Linked DNA regions of Arabidopsis thaliana. The protein of the gene in region 1 interacts with the protein of each later gene in a pairwise test. Each region holds a gene or a part of one and is shown in the gene's direction. Other genes may lie near its edges.

Region 1 (3,445 bases):
GTAAAACAACAAAGAGCTTAAAAAGAAAAACAAGCAACAAAGCTTTAGATCATTGATTAAGTTCATTTTCTATTTAGTGATCTCTGAGCTTTTGGAAGATGAATTCAGTGGAATCTGAAGCTAGGAGAGTGACTACACTCATCAGTAATCAGCGAGACCAACCCAAGATCAAAGTTTTCGTTTTTCTTACATTCCTAGCAATTTTCAAACCAATTTAGACATAAGATCTCTATTACCAACCAAAACCTCGTCTACATTTCTACAAATCCACACGAAGTAAAAAACAATCTTAAACCAAAGACAGAGAAGGACAATGGCTTACAGGTACTACTGCCAAAGAGGAAAAGCCGGCATTTTTCAACGAGCTAATGAGATATGTCGCAGCTCTAGTACTAGGGAAAGAATCAAAGCCTAGCTTCCTCGATTCATTAGCAGACCAGCTTCCACAAGAAGAAGAAGTGAAAGGAAGAGTGTTGGAGATGGAGAAACGATGCCTCTGAAGCAACCTTGTACTGCCACGAATCAATTGCATTTCTCCGCAAAAGGAATCGATCTATGCGATCACAAATATCCAAAAGCTTTCAGAGATTTTGAGAAAAACAAATCCCTTGTCATTGCTCCTTCAGGTTTCTTTATTTTTGTTTTGGTAATTTGCATATATACCCCTGATATTTTTTGCTTTTATCAAATACATCCTTTCTTTTTTCTTTGACATCTTCTTGCTAGAAAGAGTTTAGTGTGATGCTTATTGTATAGAGAACAGAACATCATTACATACATGCACTTACAATAAAACTCTTGTCTATCCATGTAGAAATCATAATCTAAAATAATTCAAAACAAAATCGATATGACCTCATATGAAAACCTCAATGTTAACAAAAAAAAAACATTGAGGTGAAAAGTGATTGTATTGTTTCATATATTATAGAGATTTGAATTCAGGTCGATTCTTCTTCTGGCATGTACATATATGATTTTTGGTTTGGGGTCATATTTGTTAGAAACCGAGAGGCGAGAGTGTAAGCACTCAAAAGTCAAAGCAGAGTTCAACGTATAGACGAAAACAGAGAGAAACAGAGCAAACCAAATAAAGATCAAGTAAATCTAATGACAACAAATATGTTTCCTAAATTATATAAATTACGAATTTATATAAGAATTTACCAAGGATTAAAATTAATACAAATATCACATCATCATCGTCTTTGATATATAGAAATCTTTATAAATTTATGTTTCAATTTTCTCTTACAAATTATAGTTTTACAACTACAACAAAAATTGAAGTCAAGTATGAATATATGATAATCCCTAGTATAAATATAGACTCGTGAACAAAAACTCTAAAAAAAGTCTCTGAAGTTTTACTTTGCTTCTAGAAATCTTGAACTCCCTTACTCTGCGAAGAAGACGAAGACGAAGCTGCTTCTTGTTCATTGTCGTCTTTGGTCTGCTTATATATCGGTAACATACTTGCTTCCTCATTCGATTGAACATAGTTTCGCTCACCGGAAGATTAGGGTTACGATCATCTTCTCCTTCCATCATCAGATACGATTAGGTTAAAAGGCGCTCGAGCAATTTTCTAGTTTCTTGCTCATCCTTCTTGGTTTTGTTTTCTTTTCTTTCTACTCGAGATTGATTCTGGATCTTCTTAAGGATCCTGTTGCGATGAATTTGACATGATTCTTCTAATTCGGCTATTGTGTTGTTTGGTGGATTAAGTTTCTTGAGGAATAAGATTTGTATTTATGCACTCTATTTTCTGTTTCTTCAATGAGTTGAGACCTCTTCAATCTTTATGGATTAGGCCAATTTTAGACCATGGTTGGAGGAAGCTTATCACCGGCGTTTACTATTGATGAAGCGACGTCATACATCAATGCTGTGAAGGAAGCATTTGGGGCTGATCAACCTGCAAAATATCGAGAGTTTCTCGACATCATGCTGGATTTAAGAGCTAATAGGTATGTTTGGTTTGCTCTTAAACAGTCTACACATGTGAGAGATTGATTCTCATGTTATTTTTCTCTTTGTAGAGTCGATTTAGCTACCGTCGTTCCAAGGATGCGGGAACTCTTGAAAGATCACGTGAATCTGCTACTTCGTTTCAATGCCTTCCTTCCAGCTGAGGCTAAGGAAACATTTCATGATGTACGTTCATACATCTATTCTTTGAAGGAATCATTTCGTGATGAACCTGCAAAATATGCTCAGTTTCTCGAGATCTTGAATGATTATAGCGCCCGTAGGTATGAATTATTTTCTCCATGTTATATTTGATTTTCTCCTAATTTCTGCTTACAAAACAACACACACATGTGAACTGAACTGATTCTGATGTTACTAAGTCTCTCTTTGTAGAGTCGATGCTCCTAGTGCCGTTGCAAGGATGACGGAACTCATGAAAGACCACCGGAATCTGGTTCTTGGTTTCAGTGTCTTGCTCTCAACTGGAGATACAAAAACCACCCCTCTCGAAGCTGAGCCTGATAATAACAAAAGAATACGTGTAGCAAATTTTATCAGCAAGCTTAAGGTATATACAGGATGCTAAATGGGTAAACTAATCTATTTTTGGTGTTTCCTCTACGCTAACTTGTGATTTAAGATAACAAATTCATCGATGTACAGGCAAGGTTCCAGGGGAATGATGGCCATGTATATGAGTCATTTCTCGAGATATTGACAATGTACCAACAAGGAAACAAATCCGTAAATGACTTGTACCAGGAGGTAGGGTTCTTGGTGGGACATTTTGTGTGTTGCACTTCTTAGCTCTTTGGTTTGATTAGCTTTGTTATCTTTGCTTGCAGGTTGTTGCACTTCTTCAGGGTCATGAAGATTTAGTCATGGAGTTTTCAAACGTTTTCAAGAGAACCACTGGTCCATCAGGGTCAAAATCTGCTAGAGATAGATGAGTACATTATAGAAGACTGTCTCTGCTTTATTTTAGGATGCTTGGAATATAATGTTTGGGGTACAAGAGACAAAAAGAGTACTTCTTTCTAACGAGAAGTGAGTGTATAGTTATCATTTGTAGACATTTGAGATTAGTTTGATTCTTACTCATATGCTTCTATATTTGAGATCAATGAGATGCATAATGGTTTGGGTAAATATAAGAGACTAAAACGAGAGTGTATGATTTCGTTTGTTAAATCTTACCAAGAAGACATGAGATTTTGGGGTCATCTTAGTCTAATGTAGAAACAAAAAGAGAGAGGAACAGAGCCTTTACTCAAACCTATATATATGGCCAAAAATTACAGAGCAAACAAAAATCAAGTAAATCTAATCACAACAAATCAAATAATTAGAAGTCAATCGGATAATTCAAGTAAATTTTATCATGATTTCGTTCAAATATGATTTTAATCATTCACACTTTTTATTGAAAATATTTTAAACATCTAATTCAAACTTCTTTTGTAAATTATCC
Region 2 (4,435 bases), on another chromosome or scaffold:
TGTTATACATATTTTCTCTCTATTCTGATGTTTCTACTCTAACATCTGGTTTACATTCAGCCCCTTGCAAATCTCAAGAAGATGTCTTTGTCAAGTTCATGGTATTTAAAGAAACTTCCGGATCTGTCAAATGCTACAAATCTCGAAGAATTGGATCTGAGAGCTTGCCAGAATTTAGTAGAGCTTCCTTCCTCCTTTTCTTATCTGCATAAGCTAAAGTATTTGAATATGATGGGATGCAGAAGGCTAAAAGAAGTTCCACCTCATATCAACTTGAAGTCTCTTGAATTGGTCAACATGTATGGATGCTCAAGATTAAAAAGCTTTCCAGATATTTCTACAAACATCAGTTCACTCGACATATCATACACTGATGTGGAAGAACTACCTGAATCAATGACGATGTGGTCTCGCCTACGTACTCTCGAAATATACAAAAGTAGAAACCTCAAGATAGTAACACATGTGCCCCTAAACCTAACATATCTAGACCTCAGCGAGACTAGAATTGAGAAGATTCCAGATGACATCAAAAATGTTCATGGGCTGCAAATTTTATTTCTAGGTGGCTGCAGAAAACTCGCATCATTGCCAGAGCTTCCTGGTTCGCTCTTGTACTTATCAGCAAACGAGTGTGAATCACTTGAGAGCGTATCTTGCCCTTTTAATACTTCATACATGGAACTCAGCTTCACCAACTGCTTCAAACTAAACCAAGAAGCACGCAGAGGAATTATTCAACAATCATTTTCTCATGGGTGGGCATCCTTACCTGGAAGAGAGTTGCCCACTGACTTATACCACCGATCTACCGGACATTCCATCACCGTTCGTCTCGAGGGCAAGACTCCTTTTTCTGCATTCTTTGGATTTAAGGTTTTCCTCGTGATTTCCCCTAACCATGATGCTGAAGAAACTAGCAATTCTCCCTTATTTTGTCCTCGCATTGGCAAAATCGGTTGCTCCGATGACGAAACACCTATTTATATTATCCCCAAACCTCGAGCAGAACATCTAGTTATGTTTCACTCTGACTTGCATAACAAGGAAAAATGTCATGAAGTAGGCAACGAGATACTGTTTGAATTCAGCAACATATCCGACACCTATGAGATTATTGAGTGTGGTGTCAGATTCTATACAGATGAACAGGTGAAATCAGTGAAAGGAGAAATGAATATGAAATAGACCAAGTTTGTGAAGATGAAAACGATTGGAGCTATGAGTTTGGACCCGTGGAAGCATTGGAATGCTCTAAAAATAATGGACATAATGATAGCCTAATCTGTACTTCGAACGAAGACAAGATCGAAGCCAACAAATACACAGATTGTTGGAGTTGGCTCATCATCTGTTTTGATGTCTCCCATATTGTGAGAAGCATCGGAAGTTTAGTTTGGGGAGGAAGATGAGAGAAGCAAGAAGGAGAATATCAAAGTGGAGAAGTCGAACGAATTTGCAAGTGAGGAAAGAATATCTGTTTATACTTTACAATGACTTGTTTGGCTGCTTCACTGAGTTGGATATGATGAGTAGTAGCATCATACTGTTTGAATTCGGATGCAGCAAATATTACTGAAATGCAGTGTACGGATCGTGAAAACTGACAAAATTGATAGTAGCAACAACAGTGAATTAATTTGGGCCTGAAACTATCCGTTTTAAATGGGCTTTTGAGCCTTTCACATTATCTATGTAATTTTCGATTTTATCTTCCTTTTCTTTTCACCTTCTCGACGAACACACCTACACAAAAATCAATCACAGTCTCTGTCTCACTCGCCGGAGTTTCGGTCACTGCGCCATCTCCGGGGTCGAGTTCGTCGTACTTCATCGAACTATGAACTCTCATGATATCGATGATCAGTTAGAAGCAGATGTATACAGTAACTTGCCTTCTCGAAATGATTCTTCAACAGGGAGGAGAAATCGAAACTCGTGTAGATCGAAACACTCAGAGACTGAGCAACGAAGAAGAAGCAAAATCAATGAAAGGTAAATAATAAGTGTTCAAAGTTTGAATTTTTATCAGATTTTCTAAAAAGGGTAACAAGAAAGTTTCGTAATTTGTGATTGTTGGTTGGTGGATACAGATTTCAGAGTTTAATGGATATTATACCTCAGAATCAGAATGATCAGAAACGAGATAAAGCTTCTTTCTTGTTGGAGGTTAGTAAAATTTATAGTTTTGAACAGAACATGTGTTTCAGAGAATCAGAATGATGTTTGCTTTTATATGTTGTCTCAGGTTATAGAGTATATTCACTTTCTTCAAGAAAAAGTTCACATGTATGAAGATTCTCACCAAATGTGGTATCAATCCCCAACCAAATTGATTCCTTGGGTATATTCCTTCTCCTATCTTTGGTTGGTTTTCTGTTATATTGAATCGTTTTTGTTACATTTTTTTAGAGAAACATGGTTATTGTGTTAAGTGTTTCATCTTTCTTGGTATTTTTGACAACTGTTTCATGTAACTTTGATGCAGAGAAATAGTCATGGGTCTGTTGCGGAGGAAAATGACCATCCTCAAATCGTTAAAAGCTTTTCAAGTAATGATAAAGTTGCTGCTTCTTCGGGTTTTCTCTTGGATACGTACAATTCAGTAAATCCTGATATTGACTCAGCAGTTAGCACCAAGATTCCTGAACACAGTCCTGTTTCAGCAGTTTCATCGTATCTACGTACCGAGCCTTCGCTGCAGTTTGTTCAGCATGACTTTTGGCAACCAAAAACAAGTTGTGGAACAATTAACTGTTTTACAAATGAATTGTTAACATCTGACGAAAAAACATCAGCCAGCTTGTCCACTGTCTGCTCACAAAGGTAAGACATATGTAGAGCAAAATAAAGCTTTTTTTGTTCAGTAATTAATTCATTTTTTTGGTAGAAAGTTTGGGTTGGTATATAGTTTCTCACGGATGTACACTCATTTCCTTCCTGTCTGGCTCTCCTTAAACAGTGGCTTACCTTTTTTGGATACTAAGAGAGAATGATATAATACAAGGTTCCAATGATGCCTCAGCTATTTGCGGAGACTTCTTGTTTGCCTTGGCTATGAAGTTCTGTAGGATAGAGTATGAGATAAATGCTGTAAACTTGGTAATTGTTAGAGGAAAAGATTTTGCATAACCATAATCCAAAGTTTCTCTTTTGAATAGTGCTTCTCTCTCCTAAATAGGTAGTCATTCAAACTGAAGATCCTATCTGCTTCTGTATTTGGAACAGACTCAGGGTTCTAAAAACGGATAACTGGAGGAAATAAAGATGGAGAGATTTGATTGAAAACTCTTGTTTGGTTTGATTGTGAACAGGGTACTTAACACTCTAACTGAAGCACTTAAGTCATCGGGTGTTAACATGTCAGAGACCATGATATCTGTGCAGTTAAGCCTTCGGAAAAGAGAAGATCGCGAGTATTCTGTTGCTGCGTTTGCTTCTGAGGTATGCCTGTAACATTTTTACAGTGGAAAAGAAAAAGAAGTCTACTACTCTGCAAGTAATTCTTATAAAAACATTTCTATGTATTTTAATTTGTATTTTGATGCTATGTATCTTTTTCATTAGGATAATGGTAATAGCATCGCTGATGAAGAAGGGGACTCTCCTACTGAAACTAGAAGCTTCTGCAATGATATTGATCATTCCCAGAAGAGAATAAGACGATAAGATCTGGTTTTCTATTTTCTATGTTATGACAACTGTTTGATAATTTTGTTACTTTCGGTGAGTCAGGATCAGTAGGTGTAGATACTACTTTTATCGTGCTGCAACTATTTTAAATGATATAGTAAAAACTAAGTAGAATGATGTAACAAGTTTCGCAAATCTATAACAAGAGTTTGCTCCATTTAATGGTACTTTAAGTATATGGTCTCTTAGATATATCACTTCTTGCCCTTCTATTTCTCACACTATTAACCGGGAAATTATTTCGTGCTTGTTGACATGTCTGTATCAAGTAATGCGTTTGATTTGCAGAAAGGAGTCCTTGTTTTCTTGTGTCTCAAGCTTGATTTGAGCTAGAGTATCTAGATCTTTAGATTCAAGAACAGATGCAATATTCTGTAGAAGTTGAAAACTCATCTTTATTCTTTAACCTTATGTAAATATGACTGTCTATACAACAGATAGTTCATCTCTCGACTAAATGTTTGGTATATATATGTATATATTATGATACTCTTGTTCGATTAAGGAGGCTGTTTGTTTGCTGAAGGAGATGAAGCAGGAGGAGGGCCAGGTTTGTTTGGTGGTGGTAGGAATGGGAATGGAGGAAATGGAAAGATCGACGGAGGTGGAGGAGGAGGAGGAGGAGGTGGTGGTGGTGGATTTAGGCCTGGAAAGATCGGTGGCAGTGGAGGAAAGAGAGACCATGGTGGAGGAGGAGTGGGAAGAGGAGGACGAGGCTGAAATGGGTTTGGAGGGAATATCG
Region 3 (4,107 bases), 7.6 Mb from region 1:
TTGTTTACTATTTGTATATATAAGTAATCATATCACTAAATACAAAATGAGAAGCTTTGGATTGTGTGGAACCATAATTTAAGTAAGGACATAACCAAAAATTAGATACAAAATGAGATACCAGTCCCAAAACATTGAACTTGCCAAAACCGAAACATAATGTCATGTAACAAAACCAGTGTTCTATTTGCCGTCGAAACAATATTAGTTAATTTCTCGTTTATACTTTAAATGTAAATTACCGCTTTCATCTGTATATCTGTTTTTGTCGTGGTTCTTCTATCCGATTCCAAATGAAAACACACAATTTCGGAACTTAATTTTATTCTTCAAAATTTTGGCATAAAAGTTAGAAATTGGTATTTTAAATAATTAATTTATGGAGTTGAAGACTTGTGAAGGTAGAAACCAAAAATGTATTTGCTTCCATCAGAGCCACGCAACAATGGAAAAAGTGACACTTGTACATACACATGCACCCGATTTTTAGATACATTAATAGATAGACTGAAAATTATAAAAGTAATTAAATATCATTTGTTTCCGCTGATAAATGGCGTACAAAATAAAAAAACGTATTTTTTTTATACGTGTTTTGTATTTAATCTCGTGCATATCCTTTCTGTGTTGTAAAGTCTTCTTAGATTCGTTGTATACAAGATCTTCTATAAGTTCGTGTATAATTTATTCAGACAAATTATGCGATTGTATTATTGTATCAAGAAATTAATTAAACTAGGTCTTTTATAAATAGGTTGTACGAGTTCTTTTTATTATAGTCATTAATATTTCTTAATTTTAAGTTAAAATTAATTAAAGTGTTCTACAGTTTAGTTGTGGTTAAATTATTTATATGGAAGATCTTTACATAATTAAAGTGTTCTACAGTTTAAGTTTGAAGAACGTCTTTCTTTACATATAAACTTTTCGAAGTTGTGAAACTATGTTCTTAGGAAAACAAGCTAAGAATATTATATTTGAATTTCGTTATATTTGTTATTTCGTCGCTTTTATGATCTTGAAACGTGATTGAACCTATAGTCCGAGGGGATGAACCAAATTTAATGTTTCTAAATCTACCAGTTAATTGTTTTCTTACCAATTTACTCATTTAATTTAGATGATATATTGATCGATTTTCTGTCATACTGATACTTATTCGGTTATGTACTACGTTATTTTACATAGCAGTTACGTATCCAAGAGAGTAAAAATTAATGATTTTAAGTTTTTGTTAAAATATTTTCTTCTAAGAGATAAAATTAAGTAAAAGAAGAAAAATATGAACACTTAACTTAAAATCCAAAAATACAAATTAATATATGAAAAAATAAGTAAAACTGCTTTAAATAATAATCCTAAGTAAGGAAAAATAATACTTCAAATGCTGATCGCTTTAACAAACAAGAATACTTATCAAACAGTAACATAATCATATATATGGGGTGGTTACTTATTTTTGGTATCAAAGTCACAAAGTACTTGCCTACTTGGTAACAAACTAGAAGACAAATTCATACATTATAATTAATTTGTTATAAAGTTAGTTGTTTTATCCTTATACTTTCAAGTATAATTCTAACAAAAAAACAAATTAGAAAGTAAATGGATGTTGATAAGGGAGAGAGAAAGAGAGGATGATGCTGATGAAAACATAGGCACATGTGTTAGGTCTGAAGCAAGGAGAGAAAGGCAGCTCCTGCTTCTTTTGCATGAAACCTCTCTAAAACTCTTCTCTTATCTCGCCACGAACCCTCTCCCCATACCCTTCACACGACTCCTTCCACTTTTTAATCTCTTGTCTTCTTATTACATCTCATCAAAATTCTATTTAATGATAATAATCCAAAGCTAACAATATTTAAATATACGTTTTAACTTATTCTCATGTCTATATCTATACTCAATCCACATATATATAAACCACAATATCCCATCTTTCATCTTACACAAATCCCTCAAAACCAAAACACATCACAAACAAAAAAAACAAGTTAGATATTATATCATCATGGATGTCGTTTGTACGGAACATCAAATGAGGAAGCCAACGGTGGAGATTCCTCCGAGAAAGCTTCTTTTATCTTCCAAGAGTTTTCCTTCTGATTCTTCTTCCCCTCGCTCGCCGCGTAAACATAACTGGAACAAAAGCAACAAGATTACATCTGAACATGAAGAAGACAACGAAGACAACAACAGAGAGAATAAAGAGTACTGTTATGATTCTGACTCTGATGATCCTTACGCAAGTGATCATTTCCGGATGTTCGAATTCAAGATCCGTCGTTGCACTCGTAGCCGAAGCCACGATTGGACTGATTGTCCTTTTGCTCATCCCGGTGAGAAAGCTCGCCGTCGTGACCCTCGTCGCTTTCAATACTCCGGTGAGGTTTGTCCCGAGTTTCGTCGTGGTGGTGATTGTAGCCGTGGAGATGATTGTGAGTTTGCTCATGGAGTCTTCGAGTGTTGGCTCCATCCTATTCGTTACCGTACTGAAGCTTGTAAAGACGGTAAACACTGTAAAAGGAAAGTCTGTTTCTTTGCTCATTCGCCACGTCAGCTTAGGGTTCTTCCTCCGGAGAACGTTTCCGGTGTCTCAGCGTCGCCTTCTCCTGCGGCGAAGAATCCATGTTGCTTGTTTTGTAGCAGCTCTCCCACGAGCACTCTTTTGGGTAATTTGTCTCATCTTTCTCGATCTCCGTCTCTGTCTCCACCTATGTCTCCGGCTAATAAAGCCGCTGCTTTTTCACGGTTGAGGAACCGCGCCGCTTCTGCCGTTTCCGCCGCTGCAGCCGCTGGTTCAATGAACTATAAAGACGTTTTGAGCGAGCTTGTGAATTCTTTGGATTCCATGAGCTTAGCGGAAGCGCTGCAGGCGAGTTCCTCGTCGCCCGTTACAACTCCGGTTTCCGCTGCGGCTGCCGCGTTTGCGTCGTCCTGCGGTCTGAGCAATCAGCGTCTCCATCTCCAGCAACAACAACCAAGTAGCCCTTTGCAATTTGCTCTTTCGCCTTCCACTCCAAGTTACCTAACTAACTCACCTCAGGCGAACTTCTTCAGTGATGATTTCACTCCTCGCCGGAGACAGATGAACGATTTCACGGCGATGACGGCCGTTAGGGAGAATACTAACATTGAGGATGGTTCTTGTGGTGACCCTGATCTAGGATGGGTCAATGATCTCTTGACTTGAGGGATTGACGGTGGAGATTCGCCGGGAGGAGATCTGACTTGAGAATGTAAATTTCGGTGGAAGAATTTTAATCACATTCATGAATCATGGGAGAATAATCGGTTCGTAACGGTTTGGTCAATGCATGGAGAGATTGTTTGTTCAAATTTATTTTGAAGATTTTTTTTTTTAGCTAATTCAGAAGTGTCTTGTGTATTGTCGTTTATTTTTTAGAATTTTCTTTTTCTGATGGGATTTTTACCAAATAATATGTTGAACTTGTAATATCTTGTGGACTCGGATTGTGCAATGTTTCACCAATTCTATAGATATTTTTCCCTTTTCATGTATACTTTGTTAAATCTTTAATAGATCAATTTGAACATTACAACCTCACAATTGAATATTGATATGTATATTGATCTTCTTTTTTGTTTTCGTCTTCGTCTGTTTTCATCATTGTGATATGTATATTGATTAACTGATGGTTTTTGTTTTATAGTTAATTTGTATTAAGCTTTTAAACGTATAAAATATCACTGGACGATTGATCACATTGCGTTTTCGGTTTACGCTATTAAGTTTTATAAATGATATTAAGATATGCGTTTCTTGAAAATAAATGTTTCATCTCATCGTATACCCTGAAACGTGTTATGTTTATGATTTAATTTTATGAATGTACCTATGCACAATTCTCGAATTATTCATCCCCCTCACCCTGAAATGTGTTATGTTTTGGTTATGCTGGTGCCTGGTAGACGAGAATACAGTTGTGTTAGTACCGTCTCCCTAAAGTTATATGTCACATCCTTTTTTGTATATAAAAAGGTGCGACAAGTTCTCCAATTGTTCTTCTTTGGACACCACACGAAAGCTAGTAGCTTTCATATGAGGCATGTGTATGTCATCGACAGATGTACATATCGAGACGT

The links.
Region 2: the proteins of AT1G24230 (region 1) and BIM3 interact in a two-hybrid assay, tested with the Arabidopsis thaliana proteins (one large-scale study listed by BioGRID).
Region 3: the proteins of AT1G24230 (region 1) and SOM interact in a two-hybrid assay, tested with the Arabidopsis thaliana proteins (one large-scale study listed by BioGRID).

The regions. Positions count from the first base shown.
Region 1 is NC_003070.9:8,583,518-8,586,962, reverse strand, and holds AT1G24230 (Paired amphipathic helix (PAH2) superfamily protein), read left to right. Parts: upstream 1-1,827; coding exon 1,828-1,970; intron 1,971-2,042; coding exon 2,043-2,255; intron 2,256-2,367; coding exon 2,368-2,542; intron 2,543-2,637; coding exon 2,638-2,739; intron 2,740-2,819; coding exon 2,820-2,924; downstream 2,925-3,445. Other genes in the region: AT1G24240 (Ribosomal protein L19 family protein), read right to left, coding at 323-532.
Region 2 is NC_003076.8:15,557,243-15,561,677, forward strand, and holds BIM3 (BES1-interacting Myc-like protein 3), read left to right. Parts: upstream 1-1,658; 5' UTR 1,659-1,840; coding exon 1,841-1,995; intron 1,996-2,093; coding exon 2,094-2,169; intron 2,170-2,248; coding exon 2,249-2,344; intron 2,345-2,488; coding exon 2,489-2,826; intron 2,827-3,314; coding exon 3,315-3,444; intron 3,445-3,567; coding exon 3,568-3,669; 3' UTR 3,670-3,884; downstream 3,885-4,435. Other genes in the region: AT5G38850 (Disease resistance protein (TIR-NBS-LRR class)), read left to right, coding at 61-1,188.
Region 3 is NC_003070.9:952,578-956,684, forward strand, and holds SOM (Zinc finger C-x8-C-x5-C-x3-H type family protein), read left to right. Parts: upstream 1-1,712; 5' UTR 1,713-2,011; coding exon 2,012-3,193; 3' UTR 3,194-3,567; downstream 3,568-4,107. UniProt on the Arabidopsis thaliana protein: Probable transcription repressor that functions as a negative regulator of phytochrome-mediated promotion of seed germination. Inhibits seed germination by regulating the expression of gibberellic acid (GA) and abscisic acid (ABA) metabolic genes.